6 linked regions of the Macaca fascicularis genome follow. The protein of the gene in region 1 purifies or fractionates together with the protein of each later gene. This does not show direct contact. Links are inferred from orthologs where the notes say so. Each region holds a gene or a part of one and is shown in the gene's direction. Other genes may lie near its edges.

Region 1 (5,168 bases):
GATTACACCATTGCACTTCAGCCTGAGTGACAGAGTGATGACACCATCTCTTAATTTTAGAAGAGTCAGCTTATATTCCTTGGAGAAACATCTTTTTTGCACCATTGTTATAATTCAGACAGAATCCTTACATGATTTTTTTTTAATTTTTATTTTTAGAGACAGGGTCTCACTGTGTCACTCAGGCTGGAATGCATTGGCTCAGTCATAGGTCACTGCAGCCTCCAATCCCTGAGCTCAAGTGATCCTCCCACCTCAGCCTCCCGAGTAACTGGAACTGCAGGTGTGAGCCACTGTGTGTGGCAAAAATAATAATAATAAAATAATTAGATAATACCCGGTGTTGTTGAGGACATGAGGAAATGCATTTTCTTTCACATGCTGCCATTAGGAGTCTAACAGCGCTCACTGCAGCCTCAAACTCCTGGCCTCAAGCAGTGCTCCCACCTCAGCTTCCCAAAGTATCCTCCCATGACTTCTAACAGGATTCCTTTAAAAGAAAATATATTCCTGAAAAATGAATAGGAAAAGAAGATGAGAATTCTTTTATTTATTTATTTATTTTTTATTATTATTATTTTTTGGAGATGGAGTCTCCCTCTGTTGCCCAGGCTGGAGTGCAGTGGTACAGTCTTGACTCACTGCAACCTCTGCCTCCCAGGTTCAAGTGATTCTCCTGCCTAAGGCTCCCAAGTAGCTGGAACTATGGGTGCCCACCAGCACACCCGGCTAATTTTTGTAGTTTTAGTAGAGACGGGGTTTTACCATGTTGGCTAGGCTGGTCTCGAACTCCTGACGTCAGGTGATTCGCCCATCTCAGCCTCCCAAAGTGTTGGGATTGCAGACATGAGCCACCATGCCCAGCCGAGAATATTTTAGAAGAGCTTGGTAAAATATGTTGGAGTTAGCACACTCTCCCCCCAGCCCAGAAAAGATTTTTAGACCTTTTTTCTTTTTCCAGCTCCAATTTATGACAATTCTAAATCTGTCTCTCAAATTGTTTCAAAAAAGGACTGATGTATACTTTGGAAATTCTAATTTAATAAATTAATCAACTTTGTGGGTTTGTTGTTGTTTTGAGACGGAGTCTCACTCTGTCACCCAGGCTGGAGTGCAGTGGCACAATCTTGGCTCACTGCAACCTCTGCCTCCTGGGTTCAAGCAATTCTCCTGCCTCAGCCTCCCACATAGCTGGAATTACAGGCACCCACCACCATGGCCAGCTAATTTTTTTTTATTTTTAGTAGAGATGGGGTTTCACCATGTTGGCCAGGCTAAGCTCAAACTCCTGGCCTCAAGTGATCTGCCCACCTCTGCCTCCCAAAGTGCTGGGATTACAGGAATGAGCCACTGTGCCCAGCCCAAGTTAATCAACTATGAAGAGAAAAATAAAATCACATAATCTTGGTTGTTCAGCTTCTCAAAGAAAGCCAAATTGTTTTTTGTTTTTCCATGCTGTTTACTCATCTTTCCGAATTGTGGAGTCAAAGGAGAAGTTCAGAGTCCCATCAGCAATGTACCTGTCATACAGGAAGATCTCTTCATGTCCTATAACACCAGATGCCATTTTCAGTCTTGTCTCTCTTTCTCCTGCAGGGCTACACCAAGTCCATTGATATTTGGTCTGTAGGCTGCATTCTGGCAGAAATGCTTTCTAACAGGCCCATCTTTCCAGGGAAGCATTATCTTGACCAGCTGAACCACATTCTGGGTAAGGTTCCCGAGCCCTTCAGGAGCTAAATTTACTCAAGTTTGCCTGCCTACAGCTTATATCAAAGTCACTTCATTAAATTAAGAAGAATTCTAATACACTCTTTAACCTGTGGTAGGTGTGAATTTTTAACCTTCCCTGATTTAAAGTGTTAAGGACTTTTGTGTAAAAACTTAAGAAAGGTAAGCATTAGGGGTGGTGATAAACCGTTAATTATCAGGGTTCATTCTGACTCACAGTTGATGGTGTGTAGTCATTTGCCTTGGTCTTGATAACTAACAGCTAATTTTTTTATCTGATAGGTATTCTTGGATCCCCATCACAAGAAGACCTGAATTGTATAATAAATTTAAAAGCTAGGAACTATTTGCTTTCTCTTCCACACAAAAATAAGGTGCCATGGAACAGGCTGTTCCCAAATGCTGACTCCAAAGGTAAATGTTATTTCGTTGATTAGTTTTTTCTTAGACTTAGCTTCATGTTTGTTAAATTGTTAGGTCACTAGCCTGAAAAGTGAGCCTATGGCTATTGGATAATGCTTTCTTTAGTGCTCACTCTGAATTGCTGTCTTCCCTTTTTTTGGGAAACAGTGGCAGTGCAGTAAGGGAGCCTGGTAATGACTGTCTAGTTCTCCCCCTTTTGGTTTCTTTGCTAATTTTAACTTGCATTAAGGTCACTTTCTTTTGTTTTGTTTTTGTTTGGGACAGAGTCTCACTCTGTCGCCCAGGCTGGAATGTAGTGCCCCAATCTCAGCTCATTGCAGCCTCCTCCTCCTGGGTTCAAGCGAGTCTCCTGCCTCAGTCTTCTGAGTAACTGGGACTACAGACACGCACCACCACGCCGGCTCATTTTTGTATTTTTAGTAGAGATAGGGTTTCACTATGCTGGCCAGGCTGGTATCGAACTCCTGACCTTTTGATCTGCCTGCCTCGGCCTCTCAAAGTACTGGGATTACAGGCGTGAGCCACAGCGCTGAACCCTGCAAACAAATCACACCTTTTCATCTTGTCACTTGATAATTTTTAAAATCAGGTTTATTGAATAATAATTTACACAGAATAAAATTCACACTTTTTAGTTGTGCGGGCCTCTGAATTTTAACAAACATGAACTGTCGTATAACAACCGCTGCAATTGAGATGTGGAATAATACTCCCATCATCCCCAAAAGTTGCCTTGTGCCGTTTGTAGTGGGTCACCCCTCTCCAAACCCAGTCTCTGGCAATCATTGATCTGATTTCTATCCCTATAGTTGTGCCTTTTCTGGCATGTCATGTTAATGGAATCATGGAGTATGTAGCCTTTTTATGTCTAGATTCTCACATTCAGCATAATGCATTTGAGATTTATAAAAATCCACGTCATTGCTTGTGTCAGTCTCTTCAACAAATGGTGCTGGAACAATTAGACACCCATATGCAAAATTTACAAAACTCAAAATGGAACATAAACCTAAATATAAGGCCTAAAGTTATTAACCTTCAAGAAGAAAACAGGAGAGAATCTTCATGACCTTATGTTAGGCAAAGATTTTTTTTTTTTTTTTTTTTTTTTGAGACGGAGTCTCGCTGTGTCGCCCAGGCTGGAGTGCAGTGGCCGGATCTCAGCTCACTGCAAGCTCTGCCTCCCGGGTTTTTACGCCATTCTCCTGCCTCAGCCTCCCGAGTAGCCGGGACTACAGGCGCCCACCACCTCGCCCGGCTAGTTTTTTGTATTTTTTAGTAGAGACGGGGTTTCACCGTGTTAGCCAGGATGGTCTCGAACTCCTGACCTCGTGATCCGCCCGTCTCGGCCTCCCAAAGTGCTGGGATTACAGGCTTGAGCCACCGCGCCCGGCCGGCAAAGATTTTTTAGAGTACCCATAAAAGAAAAAAGTGATACATTTGATTTTTACCCTTTTTTTTTTTTTAGGTCATCTTCGTTTAATAATTGTATTATCCTTTATTCCCATTTAACATGTACCTGTTAAATATATTAGGCAGCTAGTTTTTAAAACATCATACTATTATAAAACCATGATAGGCGGAATAATGACCCCCCCATCCACCCCCATGGCTATATTCTAATTTCTGGAGCCTATTAACTGTGTTAGGTTCCCTGGCAAACAGGAGTTATGGTTGCAGATGCAATCAAGATTGTTTATCAGCTGACCTTTTTTTTTTTTCCAACTGCTCCTTACAGGGCAGGGCTAATGCATGAGCGGTGTGGTATGCCCAGAGTAGGCCCATCAGCTGACTTTTAAGATAGGAAGGTTGCCAGGCGCGGTGGCTCACACCTGTAATCCCAGCACTTTGGGGAGGCTGAGGTGGGTAGATCACAAGGTCAGGAGATGGAGACCATCCTGGCTTATATGGTGAAACCCCATCTCTACTAAAAAAAAAAATAAAAAAATAAAAAATAATAAAAATTAGCTGGGCGTGGTGGCAGGCACCTGTAATCCCAGCTACCTGGGAGGCTGAGGCAGGAAAATGGCTTGAATCCAGGAGGGGGAGCTTGCAGTGGGCTGAGATCTCACCACTGCACTCCAGCCTGGGCTACAGAGCCAGACTCTGTCTCAAAAAAAAAAAAAAAGATAGGAAGATTTTCCTGGATTGTCTCTCTAGGTAGGTGGATTATCTAGGTGGGCCCATTTATAAAAACAGGATTCCTTAAAAGTGGAGGGGGGAATCTGAATAGGGTGCTTGTCCTTCCATATCTTTATCTGCATACGTGTACGTATTTTCTCTATAATTAATTTTTTTAAAATAATTATTATAAGGGTTAACTTTTTTAAAAATTCAGAAATTATAGAAATATTTAAGAAGGTAAAATTCTTTTATAATTATTCCCTAAATGTCATTGTTAATAGAATTGTGTCTTGAACATCTTTTCACATCAGTGCATAGATCTAGCTTATCGTTAATGATTTTATAGCATTTTTATCCAGTCTTCTGTTAGAAATTTAGCTATTTCTAACTTCCTGTTTTATCTATATGTGTTTATCTGTACATGCATATGAATATATGTGTATATGTAGATTTAACAACTGTCTACTTAAATGTTGAATTGGTTTTATGTATTGACCTGAGTGAAGGTTGAGAAATACTTGGTTGTTTAGAACTGAATTTCTTTTGAAAATGGGAGAAACTTTCTTTTAATCTTTCATATAAAGGTAGAAGAATTTCATCATTGTAGACAGTTAAGAAGTATAGGAGGAATGGTAAGGGAGTATGATCCTGATCACCAGGATCCCACAGTAACCTTTCGTTTTTTTTGCACTAATGTGTGCAAGCTTCTATCTGTGTGGTTGTAATTATATAATGTATTTTGGTTTTGGGGTTTTTTTTTTTTTTTTTTTTTTTTTTGAGACAGATCTGGCTATATCACCCAGGCTGGAGCGCAGTGGCACAATCTCGGCTCACTGCAACCTCCACCTCCCAGGCTCAAGCCATCCTCCCACCTCAGCCACCTGCGTAGC
Region 2 (5,849 bases), on another chromosome or scaffold:
CACCTTTTGCCCTCCCCACAGGGAGGCCACGCAGTGCGCCTTTGACCACTTATCTCCCACCCGGAGTACCCGACGCCCAGGGTCCCGCCACCGGGCAGCCTCGGTCAGTCCACAGTTGTGGCCCCTTCCAGGGCCTGGACTAGGGTGAGCACGAGCCTTGAGCGCAACATTTAAGAAGGGCGCCGAAAAGTCAGTAATCAAAAGAAATATCTTGATGCAATGCCTCTTTAAACAAATAAACAAAAAAAAATGCAAAATATCCATGATTAATAAAATACTAAATTTTAAAAAGAGAAAGGATCCGTGCTGTGCCATCGTGAGCCATTTTGGAGCCCGGAGCAAAAGGAAATATCACCTTGCCCAAGCGGTGCCCCTCACAGCCCATCCGAGTAGGACCCGAGGGCCGAGGCATTCGGGGCGCAGTGGGGGACGAGGCTGGTCGAAGGTCTCGGAAGTGGAGGCTCCGCCGAGCTCCGGTGGGAGAGTGCAGGGATGCCCCCGGGACCGGAGGTGAGAGCTCTAGAGAGCAGCTCCGCCTGGAACAAAGGCATGGGGAGAGGGCGAGCTGGGGCGGGAGAGACCCGGCGGGTTCCGCTGCCCTCGCTGCCTGGGTCGGGCTTCCACGCGCGCGCTGGAATGGAATACGCTACTCTGCAGCCTCCGAAACTGCGAGCGAGTCCTGTAACTCCCTTGCTCTGTGATTCTCACTAACAAGACTTGGCAAGATGTCGGGCGAATAATTTTTGGCTTCTGCACGGTCCCCACCGCGTGCGTGCACAAACCCCCAGCCAAAAGCCGCCTCTGGGAAATTAAACGCAAAAGATAAATGGGGATGGGGAGGGCTGTTACGTGACCAGGAAAAAGGGATGCCCAGAAACCTGAATCAGGCCCAGAGCTGAAGTCCTTTCAAAAGGTCATTTTTTTACGGGTACATTTTCCAGGGTCCAGCTCCGCAGCAAATGTGGACCATGTCATTTCCTGAAAGGATAATTCACAACTATGCAAAATAGGGTGAAAACCTTTCCCAAATCCGAAAACCTTGTTTCTCCCCCGACCAGGGTTAAACAAACATCTTTTAGGAAGCGTGGACAGAAATGTAGACGGCTCTCCTCCCTCGGAACACCATTCCGGCAATTAATGCCTCCCTTTGGGTCGTAAAGCAACAAACCCCACACCTCACTCGGATCCTGGGCTTCGGGCGGGAGGACTTTCTCTTTCATCTTCCAAGCAGGGGGTTGCCCACGTTCCTGAGGAAGCTATAAAACTGATTTAATGGCTTTGGATGAAAATCGATCACGCTAATACAAACTACGTCTCAGGAATCACATTTTCAGAAAGGACTGGCCGTGTCGAAAGCGCATGGGGAGTCTGGGGCTAGGAGGTGCCAGGCCCCGCCGGGTGGGCAGCGGCGCTCTGGTCCCCTCTCCACTTGGGTACCCAGGAGAGACCTGCGGGGCTGTCACGCTGGGAAGCGCGAAGGTGCAAAGGGATGAAAGCTCAAACCCGAGCCCCGGCCTCCTCAGCCGGCTATATTCCTTTGACACCGCCCGCCTAGCGGCGAGGTGTAGCGGCGGCACAGGTGCCGGTGTCGGGTTGGAGGCGCGGCGCAGCCTGGGCCAGCGGGCAGACAGCGAAAGGCGCCGCGCGCTCCATTCACAAAGTCCAGGCGCTGCCTGCAGCTCGCGGCGGGTCGGAGGCCGCCTCGCTCTTCCTCTCGGCCTCGGTTTTATGAATGGGCCTGGCGGCGAGCACCCCGCGCCCTGTTTACTCCGCTCTTTGTGACGTCGAGTTCCCGTGACCAGGAGCCAGCGGCCGCGCTCCATTCAAGCTCCGGGGAGGGGGTGGGAGGAGGGGCTGGAGGGGGCGGGGAGTCAGCGCGGGGGGCGGGGGAGGGCGCCGAGCCCGGAATGGAACGGGGCGGGGCCTGGCGGGGTAGTACCTAGCGCCCCCTCCCCCTGGAGCGCGGAGGAGCATTAATAAATCTCTAAGCCTAGGAGGAAACTCTGGCTGGGGTAGTGCGCGGCGCGCCGGGGGAGCGTGGGGAGCGGCAGCGCCTGCGCCGGTGGCGACAGGAGCCGCGCGACCGGCAAAAATACACGGGAGGCAGCCGCCGAAGAGAGTCCGCGGTCCTCTCCCGTAAACACACTCTCCTCCACCGCCGCCTTCCCCTCCGCGCTGCGCGCCGCCCGGCTGGGCACCCGAGGCCGCTCCAACTGCTATGTGACCGCGAGGCTGCGGGAGGAAGGGGACAGGGGAGAAGAGGCTCGCCCGCGGGAGCCCCTGAGGACCAAGTTTGCGGCCACTTCTGCGGGCGTCCCTTCTTAGCTCTCGCCCGCTTCTTCCTGCAGCGTAGGCAGCCCGGGTGCCCTTCTCTTCCTCGCGCGCCCAGCCGCCTCGGTTCCCGGCGACCATGGTGACGATGGAGGAGCTGCGGGAGATGGACTGCAGCGTGCTCAAAAGGCTGATGAACCGGGACGAGAACGGCGGCGGCGCAGGCGGCAGCGGCAGCCACGGCGCCCTGGGGCTGCCGAGCGGCGGCAAGTGCCTGCTGTTGGACTGCAGACCGTTCCTGGCGCACAGCGCGGGCTACATCCGAGGCTCGGTCAACGTGCGCTGCAACACCATCGTGCGGCGGCGAGCTAAGGGCTCCGTGAGCCTGGAGCAGATTCTGCCCGCGGAGGAGGAGGTGCGTGCCCGCTTGCGCTCCGGCCTCTACTCGGCGGTCATCGTCTACGACGAGCGCAGCCCGCGCGCCGAGAGCCTCCGTGAGGACAGCACCGTGTCGCTGGTGGTGCAGGCACTGCGCCGTAACGCCGAGCGCACTGACATCTGCCTGCTCAAAGGTAAACGCGGGCTCCGGGCGCTAGCTGGAGGGGAAATGGAGGGGGTCTTGGCGGCCTGCACCTTATTGGCACGGGAAGGAGGGCCCGGCGAGATTCGTAGTTGCAGGGATCCCCGCGCGCCCTTTTGTGTGTTGGTGTGTACGGGTTTGCGAGGTTTCTGTGCAAGTGAGAGCTTCAAGTCCTCAGGGACAGTGCGGACGGGTTCCCCCGCTCACCTGCAATTCCGCACCGTCCTAGCGAGGCCCCGTTTATTGAGACTAACGGTCCTGGCCTCGAGGATGAAGCGGCCACTCTGCGCGGCCCATCTTGAGTCCCGGGAACAGTTCCCAAGTACCACGGGGCGCGTGGGGACAAGATAGGCCTGTTGGTTTGGCTTGCCAGGGCCCTGCACTGAGCCGGACCTGGAGAATCAGAGAGGTGGGGAAAAGGGTGAAGAGGGGTGGACGCCGAGGTACAATTGGCCCTGCCAGTTTCACTGAAAACAAGACCCTGGCAATGCAGAAAGGAGATTGGGTTGCACACACCGTGTAGAGCGATCTGTATCTGCGTTCCCGCTGCCCAACTCCGAGCTCAGCTTGGAAGGTGGCCAATTCCCGTCCCGGGCTAGATCCAGGCTCTGGGAGCGGGAGGCTGGAGGACTGGGTATCTGGGGGACGCCGGGCGGAACCGGTCCTCTAGCTCCTGCAAATCCGGGCAGCGGACAATGACCACCTTTTGTTCAGCCCGGATTTTCGACTATCTGATGGCGGCGCGTGCCGGATTTTAGCGAGCCCTGGCGAAACTCTTGGCGGCGGGGCTGTCTTGTCACATTTGTAGTCAGACATCCCGGAAAAATCGCGTGCCGTCCGAATCCCTGGAGGGATCGGGGGCCCGCCACACCTGCAGGGCCGGGTGGGTCCGCGGCCCTCGGGCTAGGGAGCGGGCAGGGCGCGTGGGGTCCGGGCGCTCCCTGCCGCGCTGCGCCCCCCGCCTCCCGCAGCCGCATTCCGCGCATTCTTTCGTGCGGGTCGGGTCTGCGCTTCCGAGCCCGGGAGGCATTTCGGACCCCCCCACACCCCATCAAAGAGCCGCTCCTCCCCCTGCAGGCGCCTTCGCCGCCTCCCTCTTTTCCTTTCCTTTCCTTTCCGCTCCTCTTCCGACCTGTCCACCAGGGAGGAAGGGAGCTGGAGGGGGGCGGAAACCTCTCCCCTCCAAAAAACACAACAAAATTGCTCGGTGCTGAGGAGCCGGGTTCGCCCCTGCCGAACAGCGGGGGGCTTTGTTCTCCGCAGTTGTTTCCTGCCCATTTGACCTGTCAGCTGCTGGGGAAACGCTGCTGTTGACCTTTGGTTGAACTGCTAAGGCGATTTTGCTGATTTTTATTTCTTTTTCCGCGGGGGCCGTCTTTTGCTCCTCCAATTGAGCCCAGTCCCCCTCCCTTCTCCCCAAAGCGCTCCAAGAGAAAGTGCCAGGAAGGGGCTTGTCCCGGAAGGCCTGACCGCTGAGCGGGGCCAGGTCCTGATTAGGCCACCAGGGTGGGCTTCCGCGCCATTGTTTGAGCTTGTCGGCGCTAGTGGGAGAGATGAGGGCAATTCCTCTGGGACGCAAGTCCCCTGGAGTGGCCGGGGCTGGCCGGCATGTTCCCCGCACGGCGCTGCCCTCGAGTCCCCCCGATGGAGAGCGCGGGCGCGCCTTCCTTCGCTGGCCTCCAAACCCGGGACCCGCGAGAACACAGGAGGGCTGGGCTCCAGCCCCACGTGGAGTCTGGGTTTGTTTTGTTGTGTTTTGGTTTCCTTCCTGGAAGAAATCCCGAGGGGACCGCTCTAGAGCGGCATCTCCGGGACCTCGTCCCTTGGGCTTCCGGGGTTGCAGCCACTTAGGCCCCGCTCCCGGGGAAAAAGGGATTATTTTTTAAGGTTTATTCCCAGGGCGCGCGGCATTTCCCTGTCCCTCGTGAATCCCGTTGAGAGTCCACCTCCCCAACCTCCTCCGTTTCCTCAGCCAAACCGATTCGAAGCCCTGGAGACTCTGGGCGAGGCTAGGGACTGAGTGGGATAGGCCTCTTGGTAAAATGACAGCCCTCCGGTGTGTGGTGAGGTGCCTGGCCAACGGAAGAGAAGTATTTTAAAGGGCTGTTTCCTCCTGGAGCCTGCACTGCCTCTCGTAGTCGGCCCCGATGCGGGCAGGGAGGATCATCTTCGGCATCGCCAGGTGGACATCCTTGCAGATGGAGGTGTGCAGGCCTGGGCCACAGATCAGCTTCGGTCTCTTCTGGAATAGCCCCTCCTTCCCTGCCCCCTGTAACCAGAAGTTCAGCTTCTACTTCACAAGCAAAGGGAGCCTGCCCTTGGAAGCAAGCACTTAAAATTGAGAGGTGGGGGAAATCTTCCAGCTTGCTCTGTAGTGGTGATGAACATCTTTGAGGTTAATTGGGCCCTATTCGTTTTAGCTTAGCTGATTTTGACATATGTGTTCAGCAGAGGCCATCTTTAACCCAGTTCCTCTTCCTTGCCCTCTAATGGAAAGCATCCCTAGAGAGGTCAGAAGGAAAAAGTCAGTATCTGCTCCCACAGCTCTGCGGGTAGGGGCTGGGGAAGGAAATCAAGGTGTCTCCCAGGTCTCCAGATACACCTCCCTTCCGTGCCTGGAAGCCAGTGCAGTGGATCAAATGTGGTTTCCCGGGAGGGGGCTCTGGGGCAGAGACCTAAAGAGGAATTTTGAGAAGCAAAGGAAGAAAAAGCTCCTTAGATTATCTCTAGTAAATGCCTTAATTGATGAAGGATTGTAGAATTTGTTTCCTACTGGAGTTGTTCATTTTATTTTCCAGTGAGGGAATTTATGTATGTCTCATTTCATGTGTGCCTGTGCATGTCTGTAGAGCAGGACAGGAAGCCAGTGGAAGGCCTGAGGGTTGGTGTCTGCCATTCTTGGAGGGGTTAGGGGAAGCAGTAAAAGCAACAGAATATTTTCAGAAGTGATAGTAGCATTCCCAGCCAAAGCTAGCTAATTGTCTTAATTAATTGTATT
Region 3 (4,399 bases), on another chromosome or scaffold:
AAGGGGCAGCCTGTCGGTGCGCGCGCTCCTGCCCGGGCCGCCGCTGCAGCCGCCCCCACCTGCCCCGGTGCTCCTGTACGACCAGGGTGGGGGCCGGCGCCGGCGCGGGGAGGCAGAGGCCGAGGCCGAGGAGTGGGAGGCCGAGTCGGTGCTGGGCACCCTGCTGCAGAAGCTGCGAGAGGAAGGCTACCTGGCCTACTACCTTCAGGGTAGGTGCCGCGGGGCCCTCCTTCCAGGGCGTTTGGGATTCATTTGACCTTAGGCCAGCCCCACTTCTTTTTTTCCAAAGCGAGTTGAGGCCCCCCTCCTCTGATGACCTGCCAGGCTGCTTTGAGAGGAGGGAAGCCTGAGTGTGACCGTGGGCAAGTTCTTTACCCTCAGCAGCCCAGTCTCTGAGCCTGGAAAATGGGGAGAATTGGCCTGACCTGAGCTAGTTCTCAGGATGCTCAAGAGCGAAGTAGAAAGTGTGGGCTCCCCAGGGTCTCGGCAAGGGTATCGCCACCTCTCCCACCTGCTCAGCAAATGAGCAAGGGAGGCAGGGGTCAGACAGCATTGGTGCAATCACGGCTCACTGAAGCCTCCTGGGCTCAAGCGATCCTCCCACCTTAGCCTCCTGAACAGCATATAAAGTGTCAGGTTTCCAGCCCGGGGAAATAGTATCTGTAAATAGAGATGCTGGCTTCTTGAGACTTTAGAACCATTCTGGTGGAATGTCACATTCTCCCCCAAGTTCCCCACATCTTGGGGTCCCACTTCATCCCTGAGGGTCAGGACATGCCCAGGCAGAGAACTTCCTTTTCTTTAACTGATGGCCACAGTCCTCCCTAAGGCTGGCAGTATATCTCAGCTCTGTTGAGCCCTCACACCTGCCTCAGCTTGACCCTAGGGGTGTAAGATCCTCTCCGGTGGTTCAGCGTGAGCCCAGCTTCTTGCAGCCCCAGCAGCTGCAGTGGGCACTTGCTGTCCAGAGCAGTGGCCGAGAGTGCTGAGTGAGGGTGGCTAGGGCTCCACGTGGCACCAGGACACACCAAGCTGCTGGGTTTTGTGTTCCTTTTAGGAACATTTGCAAACCCTCCAAGTTGTCTAGGGTCAGCTCCCCAGCCCCAGACAGAGGTACTTGGCTGCCCAGGAGGCCAGGTCAGCAGGCCCCATGCCCTCTCCCCCACAGGTGGCTTCAGCAGATTCCAGGCCGAGTGCCCTCACCTGTGTGAGACCAGCCTTAGTGGCCGTGCCGGCTCCAGCATGGCCCCGGTGCCCAGTCCGGTGCCTGTAGTGGGGTTGGGCAGTCTGTGCCTGGGCTCCGACTGCTCTGATGCGGAATCCGAGGCTGACCGCGACTCCATGAGCTGTGGCCTGGATTCGGAGGGTGCCACACCCCCGCCAGTGGGGCTGCGGGCATCCTTCCCTGTCCAGATCCTGCCCAACCTCTATCTGGGCAGTGCCCGGGATTCCGCCAACTTGGAGAGCCTGGCCAAACTGGGCATCCGCTACATCCTCAATGTCACCCCCAACCTCCCAAACTTCTTCGAGAAGAATGGCGACTTTCACTACAAGCAGATCCCCATCTCCGACCACTGGAGCCAGAACCTGTCGCAGTTCTTCCCGGAGGCTATTGAGTTCATCGGTGAGTCCGCCCCACCCACCCTCCCCAAGACCTGCTCTGGCCTCCCCCTTGTGAGCACTCCTCCCAAGCCCAGCTGCCATTCCCAGAGCCAAAAGCCAGGGTGGCACTTCTAGGGGACAGGCAGAGCTAGGGCGGCCCCCAGAGGCCACCAGCGAAAACTCCAGGCCGTGGCCATCTGGCTCAGGGGGCAGGGCGGGGTCTTCGGAAGGCCTCGGCCTCACACACGCTTGCCCTCGGGGTCTCCCGGGCCCTGTCCTGCCCCATCTAGATGAGGCCTTGTCCCAGAACTGCGGGGTGCTCGTCCACTGCCTGGCGGGGGTCAGCCGTTCTGTCACCGTCACTGTGGCCTACCTCATGCAGAAGCTCCACCTCTCTCTCAACGATGCCTATGACCTGGTCAAGAGAAAGAAGTCTAACATCTCCCCCAACTTCAACTTCATGGGGCAGTTGCTGGACTTTGAGCGCAGCCTGCGGCTGGAGGAGCGCCGCTCACAGGAGCAGGGCAGTGGGGGGCAGGCATCCATGGCCTCTGACCCGCCCTCCTTCTTCACCACCCCCACCAGTGATGGCGCCTTCGAGCTGGCCCCCACCTAGGGCCCAGTGGCCGGCGGGCCGGCCCCTGCCCCACCCCCACCCACGGGTGTCCCTGCCCACTCGTGCGGCAAGGGAGGGGAGGGCGGGAGGGCTCGGCCTGAGCAGGGTGCTGGGGGGAGAGCGCAATACCTCACGCGGGCTGGCGTCCTAATCAACGTGCCTACGGCAGGGCTGCTCTGAGCCTGCCTCTTCTGCGACTGTTACTTTTTGCTTTGCGGGATGGGGGTGGGGGTTCCCTCTCCAGGTGGTTGTCCAGGCCCCGGCCCCGGCCCTGGGTGCTCGGCCAGCTCGGCTGGGCCCTGCACCTCCCTGCGCTTCCTCCTTCAGGAAGGGTGTGTCTCACCTTGTTGCCACAGGGACTGGCTCCCAGTCCCTCCCCTGTCCCCAAATGGTTGCTTGGGGGAGAGGAGTTTGCCATCACTGGTGTTGTCACCTCCCTGTTTCTCCACCAAGGGCTTGGGCCTCTCGGGGCTGGGGCCTCCCAGGGAATGGGGACCCAGAGGTGCAGTGGCTGCCTGCATCCATGGCCTAGGAGCGACTGGGCAGGTTCCCGGCCACACATCTGGTGGGCTTTTTTTTTTCCCTCTTCCCCCAGATGTCTTGACGGGATCACTGGCGCTCTTTGTGAGTGAGGGTGGTCAAACTGCTGCCGGAGGAGATGGGGTCTCAGAGCGAGAGCTGGGGAGGGGGAGGGGAAGAAGAAGGCCTCACTTTTGCTGCTGCGGGGCCCACACAGCCGCTGCTACTTTGGGGGCTGGGGAAGGGGCCAAGCTGCAGACACACACAGTCATTCATTTCTGCCCACACCCCTGTGGGTGGCGGGTGTGCGTGTGTGTGCGCGCGTGTCGGCACTCACACACACATGCTAGCCCACTGATTCACCCAGCCCAGGGCTGGCAGTCTTTGCGGCACGGGGCCATCTCACCCTGGAGCCTGGAGAGGAGCTATGCTTATTTGTTTTTGTAATCCATATCACAGTTGCTTTCTTTAATTATTCCTTCTGAATAAACAGTTTATTTAAGATACTGAGTAGAGAGGCAAGCTACCTCCTGAGCACCTTGGAGGGTTTGGGGGAAGGTGGGGAAGGAGGCCCTCTTGGTCTCTCTGGACTGCCCATGGTGGAAAGGGGGGTGTGTCGGGCTGGCCAGGGACTCAAGCACCACCCACTCCCCGCCCCATGTTATCATTTCCCATATTGTGCTTACACTGCCCGCTGGCCCAAGCTCTGAGTTGCACATTCATTCACCTCCATTTGAACCCCTAGTCTGTGCCACACACTGTCGGGGGACTGGGTTGCAGCAGTGAGCTCTGCCTGCTCAGAGCAGACTTTCTAGTGGGGGAAGAAATGATACATGCAACAGTCACAGCACTGCAGTTATGCCATAGATGTCCACTGCCATGGACAGAGCAGAAAAGCGAGGACCCAGCACTCACAAGTGATCCCTGAGACACCGGCCAAGTCAGCCCGGAGCCCTGCCTGGAACCTGAGGGCTGCCACGGCTGGGTGGCATCCTGAGAGTGACAGGGAGGGGTGTGGGCAGACTGGCACATGTGAGTGTTGTGGTTCTCTGGCTGTGGAATTTGGGCTGCAAAGCCCAGGCTGGGGACTAGAAGAACCCCATGGAGAACATGGAGACCAACAGGCCACCTAAAGGGACAGAGGTGAACTGCACCTCTCCTCATCTTGGGACACTGCCAATGCCTTCTCCACACCGTAGCTTCCGGGGTCTATAACCATGCTACACCATGGAGATGTAGCAGAGGGAAAGGGCAACTGGAGGGTGGCGGGGAGCAAGCGCAGCCCGAGAAAGCTGCGGAGACTTTGGGAGCAATGTGGCCCAGAACCCACAAGATGTTGGGGGCAATCTAAAGGCATTTGTGTGAATGGCTGAGCTAGTAGGAAAGGAAGAGCAAGGTGATGAGGTGAGAAATGATGCGAATCCTCTGGGCCAGTGGAGTAAGCCACCCTGGGGCTAGCCCAGGAGCCAGGACCCTCCATGGGAACGCAACCCCACCAACACCTTGATTTCAGTCCACTGAAATCTATTTTGGATGGCTGATCTTCTGAAATGGAAGATATGAAATCTGTGTTACTGTAAGCCACCAACTCTGTGGTAATTTATTACAGCAGCCACAGAAAACTACTAGAACAGGTGACCTAGGAAGATACATCCCAAAGAA
Region 4 (5,168 bases), on another chromosome or scaffold:
ATGTCAGAGTAACTGTAGATGTCTGCTCAGTTGCTCTGATTGTTTTGTATGTATTCTAATCATGTTAGCTATCATTTTATTGAGGATACATGTAGGGGTTGATATTTAATCACTGAGGAATAATCACTGAGTCTCAGTCAGATAGCTGGTGAGTGAGTGGTAAAGCCAGGATTAGAACTAATAATTTATATCAGTGACTTCATTCGGTGTAGAATTTTAGGGTGGCAGGTTTCCCCCCATGACATTAAAAATATCATTTCATTTCATTGTCTTTTGGCTTCCACATTTTCTGTGGACAAAATATTGGTCTGGGGGGGTTTTGTTGTTTTGTTTTGTTTTTTAAATCTGGTAATAGCAGCAAGAATGATGGCTTGCCAATGCCTAGTACATTCTCCTCAGAAGCCCAGCTCTGCCTTCTTGAAATAAAAAACATTTAGTATTTTAAGCTAATTTGAATTTGTGTAATTGAAGCTACAGAAAATAACTGTTATAGGTGGAAATGCCTTAAACGTGAATAAATAGCAGCCGGGCACAGTGGCTCATGCCTCTAATCCCAGCACTTTGGGAGGTTGACGCGGGTGGATCTCGAGGTCAGGAGATCGAGGCCATCCTGGCTAACACAGTAAAACCCCGTCTCTACTAAAAATACAAAAAATTTGCCGGGCGTGGTGGGGGGCGCCTGTAGTCCCAGCTACTCGGGAGGCTGAGGCAGGAAAATTGCTTTAACCCAGGAGGCGGAGCTTGTAGTGAGCCGAGATGCTGCCACCACACTCCAGCCTGGGCAACAGAGCAAGACTCCATCTCAAAAAAAAAAAAAGTGAATAAATAGCTTAATTATACTTGGAATTTATGGCAACTAAAGTTCTTCTGTTCTTAAAATGCATTAAGACTTTTAAGATGCATCATAGGTAAATATGATTATTCAGATAGCTAGTAACATTAGAATATCTACAAGCATAATGTCAAAATCAGAGATTTTTCCAGAAACTTTCGGGGTGATTATTCGTAATCATTTATTCTCACCTTGTTTTTGTCCAGATTCGTGTTCTTCTACAGGAACGTGGTGCCCAGGACAGGCGGATCCAGGATCTGGAAACTGAGTTGGAAAAGATGGAAGCAAGGCTGAACGCTGCACTCAGGGAAAAAACGTCTCTCTCTGCAAATAATGCTACACTGGAGAAACAACTTATTGAATTGACCAGGACTAATGAACTACTAAAATCTAAGGTATCTGAGCCTCATGATAACATTTACAGTTGAATAAATATAAACATGTTTTTTCGGGCTGGGCGCAGTGGCTTACGGCTGTAATCCCAGCATTTTGGGAGGCCAAGGCGGGTGGATCACCTGAGGTTGGGAGCTCAAGATCACCCTGACCAACGTGGAGAAACCCCGTCTCTACTAAAAATACAAAAATTAGCGAGGCACATTGGCGGGCACCTGTAATCTCAGCTACTCTGGAGGCTGAGGCAGAAGAATCGCTTGAACCCAGGAGGTGGAGATTACAGTGAGCTGAGATGGTGCCATTGCACTCCAGCCTAGGCAAGAGAGTGAGACTCCGTCTCAAAAAAACAAAACAAAACAAAGTATACCAGGCAATTCAGATTTATTTTGTTAAGCAAACATGTTTCAAGAAATCCTTTCTCAGGGACTTGCTTTAGAATCTTGCAATGCACTTTCCAGCACACAGAGGTAAGTGACCACCCAAACAACCTTTCAAAACTAAACCAGCAGGCCAGGCATAGTGGCTCACACCTGTAATCCCAGCACTTTGGGAAGCTGAGACGGATGGATCACTTGAGGTCAGGAGTTCGAGACTAGCCTAGCCTAACATGGCGAAACCCCATCTTTACTAAAAATACAAAAATTAGCCAGGTATGGTGGCACACACCTGTAATTCCAGTTACTCAGGAGGCTGAGGCATGAGAATCGCTTGAACCCGGGAAGTGAAAGTTGCAGTGAGCAACACGGCACTCCAGCCTGGGTGACAGAGTAAGACTCTGTCTCATAAAAATAAAATCAAAACAAACCAGCAAGTCATATTAAGGAAAAGAGAGATAAGAACAGTAGACCGGTGCAGTGGCTCATGCCTGTATTTCCAGCATTTTGGAAGGCTGAGGGCTGGAGAATTGCTTGAGGCCAGGAATTTGAGACCAGCCTGGGCAAAATATCAAGACCCCATCTCTATAAACAACTTGAAAAATTAGCTAGGCATGGTGGTGGTGCACACCAGTAATCCTAGCTACTCAGGAAGATGAGGCAGGAGGATTGAGTCCAGGAGATTGAGATTATAGTGAGCTATGATCATGCCACGCCACTCTAGCCTGGACAGCGAAGCGAGACTTGATCTCTTAAAAACAAAAGAAAAAAAAAATCAATCAGTAATTATGGTGTAGGTCAAAGACTGTTCTCTCTACCAAAGCATATTACAGTCAAAAACATAACCCCAGTGATAGGTAGAAAAATCAATACTTGTGTATTTTAAATATATCTTAGCAGAAAATATTTCTGAATTTTTTATGTGTTTGTTGTACTTAGTTTTCTGAAAATGGTAACCAGAAGAATTTGAGAATTCTAAGCTTGGAGTTGATGAAACTTAGAAACAAAAGAGAAACAAAGATGAGGGTGAGTGCTGCCTTTGGCAGGTTTGCTGTGTCTGGATCTGGGGATCAGTACAATTTTCTCATTTCCTAAAACACGTATCTTTGTTGTGTAGGGTATGATGGCTAAGCAAGAAGGCATGGAGATGAAGCTGCAGGTCACCCAAAGAAGTCTCGAAGAGTCTCAGGGGAAAATAGCCCAACTGGAGGGAAAACTGTAAGTGACTGAATGTGAAGAGAACTTGTTAAGTGGAAGCAATTCTTGATTTGACTCTCTTCACAAATTATTGTTTACTGAGACTTCAGACTTCTCTTAGTACTTATCTCATTGCCTCCCTCCAGTTGCCCTATTTCTTTTTTTAAATGAGAATGAGCCCTAATCATTCTCAAACATGTGCTAGAAAGTTGTATGAGTGCATTACTTTTGTACATCTTCTGTATTAATGATGAGGAAAGGTTTCGTGATCTTATGAAAGTGGTCATTAGATTGAAACGGAAAAACACTGGTATAGGAAGTTGTGATTTATGCACAATCATAGGCTTTGATTTTGAGCTTTAATTTACATATAATAAAATGTGTGGAGAGTAAGTGTTCAGTTTGGTGACTTTAGCAGTTGTATACACCTATGTAACCATTACCAAACAAGATAGAGAACATTTTCATCCCTTCAGAAAGTTCTTTCACACCCCTTCTTGACTCCCTGCTACTGCCTGTGCCATGTCCCCATCCCCACAACTACTTTCTCACTTACATCATCATGAATTAGCTTTGTCTTTTTTTATTTATTATCATTATTATTGTTATTATTATTATTTTAGAGATGGGGCATTGCTGTGTTACTCAGGCTGGTCTCAAACTCCTGGACTTAAGTGATACCACCCTGACCTTCCAGAGTGCTGGAGATAGAGACATGGCCGCTATACCTGTCCAGTTTTGCCTTTTTTTAGGACATGCAAGAGAGAAAGAGCATGTGTGTGTGTGTGGCTTCTTTTGTTTGATGTAATTTTTCAAGATTCATCCAATCTGTTCTGTGTACTATAATTTTTCCTATTTTATTTCTGAGTAGTGGTTCACCCTATGAATATACCTCCATCTCTTTACTCTCCTTTTGATCATTATTTGGGCTGTTGCCAGTTTCTGCCATTGAAAAGACTGCTGTGAACATGTTTTATGTTTTTTTATGGACATGTTTTTATTTCTCAGATAAATTTCTAGGAGTAGAATTCTTGGGTAATAGGGTAGTGTATATATAATGTTTTTTAAAATTCAAAAGTGGTTTTGCCATTTTTATACACCCCCCGGCAATGTATGACAGTTTCAGTTGTTACAGATTCTCACCAACATTTAATGTTGTCTGTTTGATTTTAGCCTTTCTACTAGGTAGGAAGTGGTATCTCCTTTGTGATTTTAATTTGTTGCTATGAATGTTGACCATATTTTTATGTGCTTATTGACCATTTTATGTGCATATCACCTTTTGCAAAGTGTCTGTTGAAGTCTTTTGTCCATTTCTTGCATTGGACGGTTTGGTGGAGGTAAACAGATAAGTAATCAAATACCAGGTAGTCTGGGACAAAAGCTTTATGGCACACAAAATGCTATTTAGGATGTTGGGTGGGTGGGAAAACCAGGAAGACCACAAAAAAAATATTATTTCTAACACTTGGGATACTGTAATGATGGTTCTTGTCATTACAGGTTTTTTGTCAGTGTATATTCAGAAAACTTTATCACTTAAATAAAAATTTTAGTCTTGTATTTGGATATAAATTCTGAATTTGAGAAATCACATAAAATAATTGTTAAGAGTTAGGACTCTGGAGTCAGCCTGCCTGATACAGCAGTATCTGGTACATAAGCATTATGTATGATTATTAAGTAATGAAACTAGAATGTATTAACATATGCAATTTTTGTTTTAGTGTTTCAATAGAGAAAGAAAAGATTGATGAAAAATCTGAAACAGAAAAACTCTTAGAATACATCGAAGAAATTAGGTAATATGAGCAGTAGCTTTAAATTGAACCTTATTTTTTTAATACTGAATCATTTTTATCATTTTTCTGTTATTTTTCCCTGTGCCTAAATAGATGTGCTTTTTAAGACAATTTGTTTTAATGCAGTTGTGCTTCAGATCAAGTGGAAAAATACAAGCTAGATGTTGCCCAGTTAGAAGAAAATTTGAAAGAGAAGAATGATGAAATGTTAAGCCTTAAGCAGTCTCTTGAGGAGAATATTGTTATATTATCTAAACAAGTAGACAATCTAAATGCAAAATGTCAGCTGCTTGAAAAAGAAAAAGGTATTACAGTGTTTTATAGTTACTTTCTTTAGATAAGTGTTACATACAACATTTAGGAAAAATACTGCTATGCTAAAACAACCTTTTAAATATAATTAGCTATACTAACATTTTAAATATAATTAGCTATATAGCTGTACAACAGCAAAAACCTGTACTGCATTTTAGAATATTTTACTCTTATAATGTTTGTTTTCTGTTTGTTTCAATACAGCATATTACCTGTCTTGATTGAAATATATACAGTCGTATAATTCTTAACTTT
Region 5 (4,220 bases), on another chromosome or scaffold:
GCCAAATCCTAGCTGTGTGACCTTGGGCCACTCCCAGCCCTTCCCTGAGCCCCTTGGTAACGCAGAAGTATCTTGAGGAGAGAATACGGTCACCAGTGGATCCTCTAGTCTTGCCTTACATGTGAGGAGAGAGCTGGTACCCACTCTCTGGGCACTTGATTTGTCTTCTGTGGCCCACGTTCCTCAGTTGGCCTTTGGGACCACACCTAAGTGCGTGTTAAGGTGTGGAGTCTAGACCTGGATCCCACATACCTGACCCTCCCAATGGCATTTCTGTACCCACAGCTATTACTATAACAAGCGCATTCTGCACAAGACTAAGGGGAAACGGTTCACCTACAAGTTCAATTTCAACAAACTGGTGCTGGTCAATTACCCTTTCATTGATGTGGGGTTGGCTGGTGAGTACCGGGGATGGTTGGTGTGGAGGGGGTCTGTGTGCCCCTTCAGGCTAGGCCAGGGGCCTTGACACTGTCTCCCTTCCGCCAGGGGGTGCGGTGCCCCAGAGTGCCCCGCCAGTGCCGTCGGGCGGTAGCCACTTCCGCTTCCCTCCCTCGACGCCCTCCGAGGTGCTGTCCCCCACCGAGGACCCCCGCTCACCACCGGCCTGCTCTTCATCCTCATCCTCCCTCTTTTCTGCTGTGGTGGCCCGCCGCCTGGGCCGAGGTTCAGTCAGTGACTGTAGTGATGGCACATCAGAGCTGGAGGAACCGCTGGGAGAGGATCCCCGGGCCCGACCACCTGGCCCTCCAGATCTGGGTGCCTTCCGAGGGCCCCCGCTGGCCCGCCTGCCCCATGACCCTGGTGTCTTCCGTGTCTATCCCCGGCCTCGGGGTGGCCCTGAACCCCTCAGCCCCTTCCCTGTGTCACCTCTGGCTGGGCCTGGATCCCTGCTGCCCCCTCAGCTCTCCCCGGCTCTGCCCATGACGCCCACCCACCTGGCCTACACTCCCTCGCCCACGTTGAGCCCGATGTACCCCAGTGGTGGCGGGGGGCCCAGCGGCTCAGGGGGAGGCTCCCACTTCTCCTTCAGCCCCGAGGACATGAAACGGTACCTGCAGGCCCACACCCAAAGCGTCTACAACTACCACCTCAGCCCCCGCGCCTTCCTGCACTACCCCGGGCTGGTGGTGCCCCAGCCCCAGCGCCCTGACAAGTGCCCGCTGCCGCCCATGGCACCCGAGACCCCACCGGTCCCCTCCTCGGCGTCGTCATCCTCTTCTTCTTCTTCCTCCCCATTCAAATTTAAGCTCCAGCCACCCCCACTTGGACGCCGGCAGCGGGCAGCTGGGGAGAAGGGCCCAGCTGGTGCTGACCAGAGCGGTGGCAGCGCAGGCGGGCTGGCCGAGGGGGCAGGGGCGCTAGCCCCACCGCCCCCGCCACCACAGATCAAGGTGGAGCCCATCTCGGAAGGCGAGTCAGAGGAGGTGGAGGTGACTGACATCAGTGATGAGGATGAGGAAGACGGGGAGGTGTTCAAAACACCCCGTGCCCCACCTGCACCCCCCAAGCCTGAGCCCGGTGAGGCACCCGGGGCATCCCAGTGCATGCCCCTCAAGCTACGCTTTAAGCGGCGCTGGAGTGAAGACTGTCGCCTGGAAGGGGGTGGGGGCCCCGCTGGGGGCTTTGAGGATGAGGGCGAGGACAAGAAGGTGCGTGGGGAGGGGCCTGGGGAGGCCGGGGGGCCCCTCACCCCAAGGCGGGTGAGCTCTGACCTCCAGCATGCCACGGCCCAGCTCTCCCTGGAGCACCGAGACTCCTGAGGGCTGTGGGCAGGGGACCCGTGTGCCCCCCACCCCCCATGCTTCTTTTGCTGCCTTAAGCCCCCTGTGCCCTGGAGGTGAGGGCAGCTCTCTTGTCTCTTCCCTGCCTCCTCCCTTTCCCCTCCCCACATTTTGTATAAAACTTTAATTTCTTTTTTTTAAATGGTGGGGGTGGGTGGGTGCCCAGGGCTAGGGGCTGTTCCCTGTCTCTGTGGGTTTCTAAGCTCTGGGCAAAGTGGTGGTAGCGGGGAGGGAGGGGGAAGTTAAGGGGGCCACCTCCATTCTGGGGAATTTATATTTGAATTGAGGCTTTGGCCTTAACACCCAGGAACTTTTTTATTACAATCGCTTAGGAAGTAAAGCCTTGTCTCCCTCCCTGTTCTCTGCCTCTTGTACCCCTCTGGCCCACCCACTCTGCCCCACTCCCAGCCCTTCTCAGCCCCAGCCCTGCCTGCCCTGCCCCTCCAGGGGGCCATGAGTGCCTAGGTTTCTCATACCCCACAAGGTCACAGCAGGGGAGGGAGGGACAATTTTATAATGAACCAAAAATTCCATGTGTTGGGGGGTGGGGGGCGGAGGAGGGTGAGGGGTGCCGCCCATGGGCCACAGATCTCTACAAGTGCCTGCTATCCCTCTCCCACTCCCCACCCCAGCACCGGTCCAACCCCTTCACCCCCAGCTGCTCCTAGGACTGGCCCATGGGCAGGCGGGTGGGGGGATGGGAAGGGGGTACCCTGAAACCAAACTGGAAGCCTCCTCTGCCTCCCAGCTGGGGCCTCTGGAGTGGGGTGGGGGGCTGTGGTCAAGCCTTATTCTGTATTGGGGACTGAGGGTGGGGGTAGTAGAGGGGCCGCTGGAGAATGTATTCAAAACAATAAAACTTTGGACCTTTGGATGCGGTGATCAATGTCCTAGGTGCTGGGTGCAGCCCCCTGCTTTTGTTTGATTCTGAAGGAGGGGCCCCAGCCTGGCTGCCAGTGGGTCTGTGGCCAGATCGGTATAGAGGGCCTAACCCTAATCAGAATGGGCCAAATCCAGGCCTGGGAAACTGTCTTGACCTCAGAGGCACTTAAGTCCCAGAGTTTGATGATAGTGGTCTCGGGCATGCACCAGCTTCATCTGACTGCCCCTCTGTTCCATGGGGACCTTGTCCTTGAAAGCTCTTCCCACTGTTTTTCACCACAATCCCACTGCCCTTGCTCTTCTGATTGCCTGGATGCCTTCCCACTTGTGGCTGTGAATTCTTCCCACACCCCAGGTCCCCAGCGAAGACCAGGAGCTCCCTTTTGCACTGCCCCTCACACCCTGCCCACACCCTTCTCTTGTTGCTCTGAGTTCAGCCGGGAGCCCTTTGGAGAACAGAACAGCCTGCAAGTTACCTTGCAAGGTAACTTGGTGATCTTCTGGTCCAGCCATGGGAACACCCCCAGCCAGCACACAGCCAGGGGACTGGCTCACTAGTCATCAATGCTGTTGATCTACTGTGTGTCCAATACTTATGAGCTGCAATGTTGTAGCTCTTTCATTATCTAGTAAGGTAGGGGCAACCGGTGCTGCTAAGTGACTTGCCCAGGGCCCTGTGGCTGAGCCAGGACTTCAAAGCCCACGTTCTTTCAACAACTGAGTTTTCCTTCCTAACACCAAGATAGTTGGATCCAGATCAGGCTTTCAGGATCAGAGGATTTGAGATGAGCTCATAAAGCTAGAAGCTGAGATTGGAGAGCTCGAATCAGGGATGAAAGAATTAGGAGGAATAATCCAGGCTGGAAGTGCCTTTAGAGACAAGTCCTGTCTCTTTCTCGCAGGTGAGGTGCCTGAGGCCCAGAAAGGGGAAGGGGCTTCCCCAAGGCCACACAGCTGCTAAGAGATGGAGTGGCAATTGAGGGCTTGTTGGACTGGCTTCACCATGAAACTCCACCCTGTGCAACCCTGAGGGGGAAGGAACGTTGACTGGCAACTGCTACCCACTCGCACCTCATTTCATGCCAGCCAGGGTGGGTGGTCCCAGATGATGTCGGTTGGCAGGGAAGAGAGGATCCAGAGCTAGGATACTGGCAGGAAACCGAGGCTCCTGAGGCGGCCTGCGGGAAACTGCTCCCTCTCCTGGGTGATGTAAGTCATTCCCTGGGGTGGGGGCCACTGGGCTATTTCTGGAAGCTGGGATGAGACATGTCTCCTGGCAACATAGTTGCAGCTGAGTTGGTGGTGGGGTGATGGAGATGGGGATGTTGTCTCTCGGGAGGAGAGGACCCTAACTACTGGCCTCAGCCTCTAAGCCCAGTGCCTTCAAAGCACTTCTAACCACATCTAATATGGAATCATCAGTGCTCAGCTCAGCTCCCTAAGTGCTGTCCAGGTCAGACCACAGCCCTACCAGACTAGTTGCCCCAGATTCTGGCTGTGTAGGATGTCACAGGTGGCATTTGGCCTTAAACTCCAGTGGCTCTCTAACCTTTA
Region 6 (5,168 bases), on another chromosome or scaffold:
TATTGAAGATGTACCTGGACCCAGGTCTCCGGTCTAGTTGAAGCAATTGTACTGCCCTACAAAGTCATATTCTCTTTGGTGCTTCCTGATTGATGTATTTATCCAACTAGGAAGTTACTTATGCCCTCATCCAAAAATGTGGTAGAGGCCAGATTAGTGCTGGTGGGAATAGGAGATATAACCTTTGGCTTTGGAACCACAAGCATTAGCAGTCTCCATGTTCTTTAAAGACTCGGTGATGTTGGTACACCAGGCAAAGACTACGCAGGCTTGGTTCCTGCATTCAGAGAAGTTATCTAAGAGATATGACCAGGCTAGAATAGAATCCTTAGACTACATGGAGGCTGTTAAACTTTTACATAATCTAGGGAAAGAATGGACACAAGGTTGGCATTAGTCTAGGCTCAGGTGGGAAAAGGTTATGCTGAAAAGCCTCTGCAGCTCAGGACAGCTTTGTGCAAAGAACTGAGGTTCAAAGCTGCTAGTGCCTAGGACATCAAATAGTATAGATGAGGGCGGGCAACGCTGAGGGGCGGATGGAGCTTTCCAGACAATCTTGGCATGAGGATGGAGTGAGTTTCAAATCAGTCCAGCTGAGGCAGATGGCTTCCTCCGGCTCTGCTTACTGAATGCGAAGTCACAGTCAGTAAGAAAACTGGTTTTCTTCTTCCCAGGCGCCGCCCCATACCTGAAGACCAAGTTTATCTGTGTGACACCGTAAGTGGCTTCCTTTCCCAATTTTGCCTTCATTTCTAATATCCTCAGTTATCCCTGGGAGTAGGACACTGGGTGAGAGTTAATCTGCCGAGGGTCGGAAGCCCCTGGGCTATGTTTAGTACTCACAGTGACCTTGTGTGTTTAAAGAGCTTGAGCTTTTATTTTTCTGTTGGAGACCAGAGTTTGATGGCTTGTGTGTGTGTGTTTTGTTCTTTTTTTTTTTCCATTGTGTCTTGTCAACCCCCCGTTTCCCCTCCTGCTGCCCCCCATTTCCTACAGAACGACCTGCAGCAATACCATTGACCTGCCGATGTCCCCCCGCACTTTAGATTCATTGATGCAGTTTGGAAATAATGGTGAAGGTGCTGAACCCTCAGCAGGAGGGCAGTTTGGTGAGTATTTGGTTGACAGACTTTGTCCCTGTAAGGGAAGTTGGTCCCCTTTGTATGATGCTCTCACATGTACAACACACCGAGAGCTGGTCACTCAGAATGGTAGGAGGTTCTAGAGCATTGCTTTCCAAAAGAAATGGTATGAATGCCACGTGCGGGTATAAATCTAGCAGCCACACTGGAAATAGACGAAGTTAATTTTTACAGTGTATTTTATTTAACCCAGTAAATCCAACATACTGTCAATTTAACATTTCAGGCCAGGCTTGGTGGCTCACGCCTGTAATCCCAGCACTTTGGGAGGCCAAGGCAGGCGGATCATGAGGTCAGGAGATCGAGACCACGGTGAAACCCTGTCTCTACTAAAAATACAAAAAATTAGCCAGGCGCGGTCGCGGGCGCCTGTAATGCCAGCTACTTGGGAGGCTGAGGCAGGAGAATGGCGTGAACCCTGGAGGCAGAGCTTGCAGTGAGCTGAGATCACGCCACTGTACTCCAACCTGGGTGACAGCGAGACTCCCTCTCAAAAAAAAAAAAAAAATTTAACATTTCAGAAAAAGTTGAGGCTGGGTGGGTGGCTCACGCTTGTAATCCCAGCACTTTGGGCGGCTGAGGCGGGTGGATGACTTGAGGTCAGGAGTTCAAGCCTAGCCTGGCCAACATGGTGAAACCCCATATCTACTAAAAATACAAAAATTAGCTGGACGTGGTGGCGCATGCCTGTAATCCCAGCTACTCGGGAGGCTGAGGTAGGAGGATTGCTTGAGCCTGGGAGGTGGAGGTTGCAGTGAGCTGAGATCGTGCCACCGCACTCCAGCCTGAGTGACAGAGTGAGATTCTGTTTCAAAACAACAAAACTAAACTAAAAGAAAAGAAAAAGTTGAGACCTTTTTTTTACTCTTTTTTTCATACTAAGTCTTTAAAATCCGGTGGGCTTTTGACAGCCACAGCACAGCCCAGTTTGGACAAACCAAATCTCCAATGCTTGGTGGCCACGTGTGTCTTGGGGCTCCTGAATTAAACAGTAGATCAAGGGCAGAAGATCTAAGGACAGCCTTAGATCTTCTGTAAACATGGAGATCTGGGAATTGGTTAAGGGAGGAAGGAGAAAGGGCCCTTCCAGAGGCAGGGTCCTCTAGGGAGGAGAGTAAATCTGGCTTTTCTGACCATCCCTGGGCCCTAAGGGACAGGAGATTGGATAGCAGTTGTAGCCTGGGTCCTATCCTCTGAAGGGCTGGGGGCGTGGCCTGCCAGTTGCAGAGGGTGGACAACTGAACTAGTTTTCCCTGTCTGTCCCTCCAGAGTCCCTCACCTTTGACATGGAGTTGACCTCGGAGTGTGCTACCTCCCCGATGTGAGGAGCTGAGAACGGAAGCTGCAAAAGATACGACTGAGGCGCCTACCTGTGTTCCGCCACCCCTCACACAGCCAAACCCCAGATCATCTGAAACTACTAACTTTGTGGTTCCAGATTTTTTTTAATCTCCTACTTCTGCTATCTTTGAGCAATCTGGGCACTTTTAAAAATAAGAGAAATGAGTGAATGTGGGTGATCTGCTTTTATCTAAATGCAAATAAGGATGTGTTCTCTGAGACCCGTGATGGGGGGATGTGGCGGGGGGTGGCTAGAGGGAGAAAAAGGAAATGTCTTGTGTTGTTTTGTTCCCCTGCCCTCCTTTCTCAGCAGCTTTTTGTTATTGTTGTTGTTGTTCTTAGACAAGTGCCTCCTGGTGCCCGCGGCATCCTTCTGCCTGTTTCTGTAAGCAAATGCCACAGGCCACCTGTAGCTACATACTCCTGGCATTGCACTTTTTAACCTTGCTGACATCCAAATAGAAGATAGGACTATCTGAGCCCTAGGTTTCTTTTTAAATTAAGAAATAAGAACAATTAAAGGGCAAAAAACACTGTTTCAGCATAGCCTTTCTGTATTTAAGAAACTTCAGCAGCCGGCCGCAGGGACTCACGCCTGTAATCCCAGCACTTTGGGAGGCCGAGGTGGGTGGATCATGAGGTTAGGAGATCAAGACTGTCCTGGCTAACACGGTGAAACCCCATCTCTACTAACAGTACAAAAAATTAGCCGGGCGTGGTGGTGGGTGCCTGTAGTCCCAGCTACTCGGGAGGCTGAGGCAGGAGAATGGCATGAACCCAAGAGGCGGAGGTTGCAGTGAGCCAAAATCACACCACTGCACTCCAACTCAGGCAACAGTGTGAGACTCCATCTCAAAAAAAAAAGAAAAGAAAAAGAAACTTCAGTTAACAGCCTCCTTGGTGCTTTAAGCATTCAGCTTCCTTCAGGTTGATAATTTATATAACCCCTGAAACAGGCTTCAGGTCAAACCCTTAAAAGACGTCTGAAGCTGCAGCCTGGCCTTTGATGTTGAAATAGGAAGGTTTAAGGAGAATCTAAGCATTTTAGACTTTTTTTTATAAATAGACTTCTATTTTCCTTTGTAATGTATTGGTCTTTTAGTGGGTAAGGCTGGGCAGAGGGTGCTTACAACCTTGACTCCCTTTCTCCCTGGACTTGATCTGCTGTTTCAGAGGCTAGGTTGTTTCTGTGGGTGCCTTATCAGGGCTGGGATACTTCTGATTTGGGCTTCCTTCTTGCCCCACCCTCCCGACCCCAGTTCCCCTGACCCTGCTAGTGGCATGTCTCCTCCCATGTCTGAAGGTCCCTCGTCCTGTTTGTTTTAGGAATCCTGGTCTCAGGACCTCATGGAAGAAGAGGGGGAGAAAGTTACCAGTTGGATATGATGCAGACTATGGGGCCCCAGCGACGTGTCTGGTTGAGCTCAGGGAATATGGTTCTTAGCCCAGTTTCTTGGTGATTTCCAGCGGTCAGTTCAGGCAGGGCAAAGGCTTACTGATAAACTTGAGTCTGCCCTCGTATGAGGGTTATAGCTGGCCTCCCTCTGAGGCTGGTGACTCTTCCCTGCTGGGGCCCCACAGGTGAGACAGAACAGGTAGAGGGCCTCCCTGTCTGCCCGCCTTGGCCAGCTAGCTTGCCTCTCCTGTGCGTATGGGAACACCTAGCACGTGCTGGGTGGGCTGCCTCTGACCCAGAGGCATGGCCGAATTTGGCGACTCAAAACCACCTTGCCTCAGCTGATCAGAGTTTCTGTGGAATTCTGATTGTTAGATCAAATTAGCTGGTCTCTGAATTAAGTGGGAGAGGACCTTCTCTAAGATGAACCGGGTTCGCCCCAGTCCTCCTGCCTGGAGACAGTTGATGTGTCTTGCAGAGCTCTCGCTTCTCCAGCAACACTCTTCAGTACATAATAAGCTTAACTGATAAACAGAGAGAATATTTAGGAAGGTGAGTCTTGGGCTTACCATTGGGTTTAAATCATAGGGACCTCGGGAAAGGGTTCGGGCTTCTCTGGAGCAGATATTATGAAGTTCATGGCCTTAGGTAGCATGTGTATCTGGTCTTAACTCTGATTGTAGCAAAAGTTCTGAGAGGAGCTGAGCCTTGTTCTGGCCCCTTAAAGAACAGGGTCCTCAGGCCCTGCCCGCTTCCTGTCCACTGCCCTCCTGCCCGTCCCCAGCCCAGCTGAGGGAATCCCGTGGGTTGCTTACCTACCTATAAGGTGGTTTATAAGCTGCTGTCCTGGCCACTGCATTCAAATTCCAATGTGTACTTCATAGTGTAAAAATTTATATTATTGTGGGGTTTTTTGTCTTTTTTTTTTTTTTTTTTTTTTTTTGGTATATTGCTGTATCTACTTTAACTTCCAGAAATAAACGTTATATAGGAACCGTCTGATAGCATGGCAGCTCTGTCTGGCTGGTGGAGGCTTCCTTTTCCCCTGCCTAAGTTCTGAGGAGGCCTCACACACAGGCGGGGCCTGGGATGGGGGCCGGAAAGGGTCTTGAGAGGAGGTGGTTGCCTTAGTCCCCAACCCCATCCCCTTATGTTAGCCACCAGCCCGGAGGTAAGGGGTGCCTGGAGGAGCAGGAGGTCAATAGTCCAACGGCAGAAAGGTGTAAGAGTGGAGGCCTCCCTCCCCAACCCCCTCCTACCCCCTAGAGCGGCCTCGTCCTGTCTGGAGT

What was found.
Region 2: the proteins of MAPK1 (region 1) and DUSP4 purify together in Homo sapiens (affinity purification with mass spectrometry; 6 studies listed by BioGRID and IntAct, with this or other methods). This does not show direct contact. The link is inferred for Macaca fascicularis from reciprocal best matches to the Homo sapiens genes MAPK1 and DUSP4.
Region 3: the proteins of MAPK1 (region 1) and DUSP9 purify together in Homo sapiens (affinity purification with mass spectrometry; 5 studies listed by BioGRID and IntAct, with this or other methods). This does not show direct contact. The link is inferred for Macaca fascicularis from reciprocal best matches to the Homo sapiens genes MAPK1 and DUSP9.
Region 4: the proteins of MAPK1 (region 1) and HMMR purify together in Homo sapiens (affinity purification with mass spectrometry; 4 studies listed by BioGRID and IntAct, with this or other methods). This does not show direct contact. The link is inferred for Macaca fascicularis from reciprocal best matches to the Homo sapiens genes MAPK1 and HMMR.
Region 5: the proteins of MAPK1 (region 1) and ERF purify together in Homo sapiens (co-immunoprecipitation; 3 studies listed by BioGRID and IntAct, with this or other methods). This does not show direct contact. The link is inferred for Macaca fascicularis from reciprocal best matches to the Homo sapiens genes MAPK1 and ERF.
Region 6: the proteins of MAPK1 (region 1) and STAT3 purify together in Homo sapiens (affinity purification with western blotting; 3 studies listed by BioGRID and IntAct, with this or other methods). This does not show direct contact. The link is inferred for Macaca fascicularis from reciprocal best matches to the Homo sapiens genes MAPK1 and STAT3.

Annotation. Positions count from the first base shown.
Region 1 is NC_088384.1:31,334,652-31,339,819, forward strand, and holds part of MAPK1 (mitogen-activated protein kinase 1), read left to right. Parts: intron 1-1,596; coding exon 1,597-1,711; intron 1,712-2,013; coding exon 2,014-2,145; intron 2,146-5,168. UniProt on the Homo sapiens protein: Serine/threonine kinase which acts as an essential component of the MAP kinase signal transduction pathway. MAPK1/ERK2 and MAPK3/ERK1 are the 2 MAPKs which play an important role in the MAPK/ERK cascade.
Region 2 is NC_088382.1:32,536,669-32,542,517, reverse strand, and holds the start of DUSP4 (dual specificity protein phosphatase 4), read left to right. Parts: upstream 1-2,005; 5' UTR 2,006-2,410; coding exon 2,411-2,843; intron 2,844-5,849. UniProt on the Homo sapiens protein: Regulates mitogenic signal transduction by dephosphorylating both Thr and Tyr residues on MAP kinases ERK1 and ERK2.
Region 3 is NC_088395.1:159,705,204-159,709,602, forward strand, and holds the end of DUSP9 (dual specificity protein phosphatase 9), read left to right. Parts: coding exon 1-209; intron 210-1,168; coding exon 1,169-1,624; intron 1,625-1,892; coding exon 1,893-2,218; 3' UTR 2,219-3,241; downstream 3,242-4,399. UniProt on the Homo sapiens protein: Inactivates MAP kinases. Has a specificity for the ERK family.
Region 4 is NC_088380.1:170,197,272-170,202,439, forward strand, and holds part of HMMR (hyaluronan mediated motility receptor), read left to right. Parts: intron 1-1,038; coding exon 1,039-1,227; intron 1,228-2,538; coding exon 2,539-2,625; intron 2,626-2,716; coding exon 2,717-2,817; intron 2,818-4,523; coding exon 4,524-4,598; intron 4,599-4,724; coding exon 4,725-4,903; intron 4,904-5,168. UniProt on the Homo sapiens protein: Receptor for hyaluronic acid (HA). Involved in cell motility. When hyaluronan binds to HMMR, the phosphorylation of a number of proteins, including PTK2/FAK1 occurs.
Region 5 is NC_088393.1:49,302,643-49,306,862, reverse strand, and holds the end of ERF (ETS domain-containing transcription factor ERF), read left to right. Parts: intron 1-285; coding exon 286-401; intron 402-489; coding exon 490-1,763; 3' UTR 1,764-2,656; downstream 2,657-4,220. UniProt on the Homo sapiens protein: Potent transcriptional repressor that binds to the H1 element of the Ets2 promoter. May regulate other genes involved in cellular proliferation.
Region 6 is NC_088390.1:63,362,361-63,367,528, reverse strand, and holds the end of STAT3 (signal transducer and activator of transcription 3), read left to right. Parts: intron 1-674; coding exon 675-717; intron 718-996; coding exon 997-1,109; intron 1,110-2,411; coding exon 2,412-2,467; 3' UTR 2,468-4,878; downstream 4,879-5,168. UniProt on the Homo sapiens protein: Signal transducer and transcription activator that mediates cellular responses to interleukins, KITLG/SCF, LEP and other growth factors. Once activated, recruits coactivators, such as NCOA1 or MED1, to the promoter region of the target gene.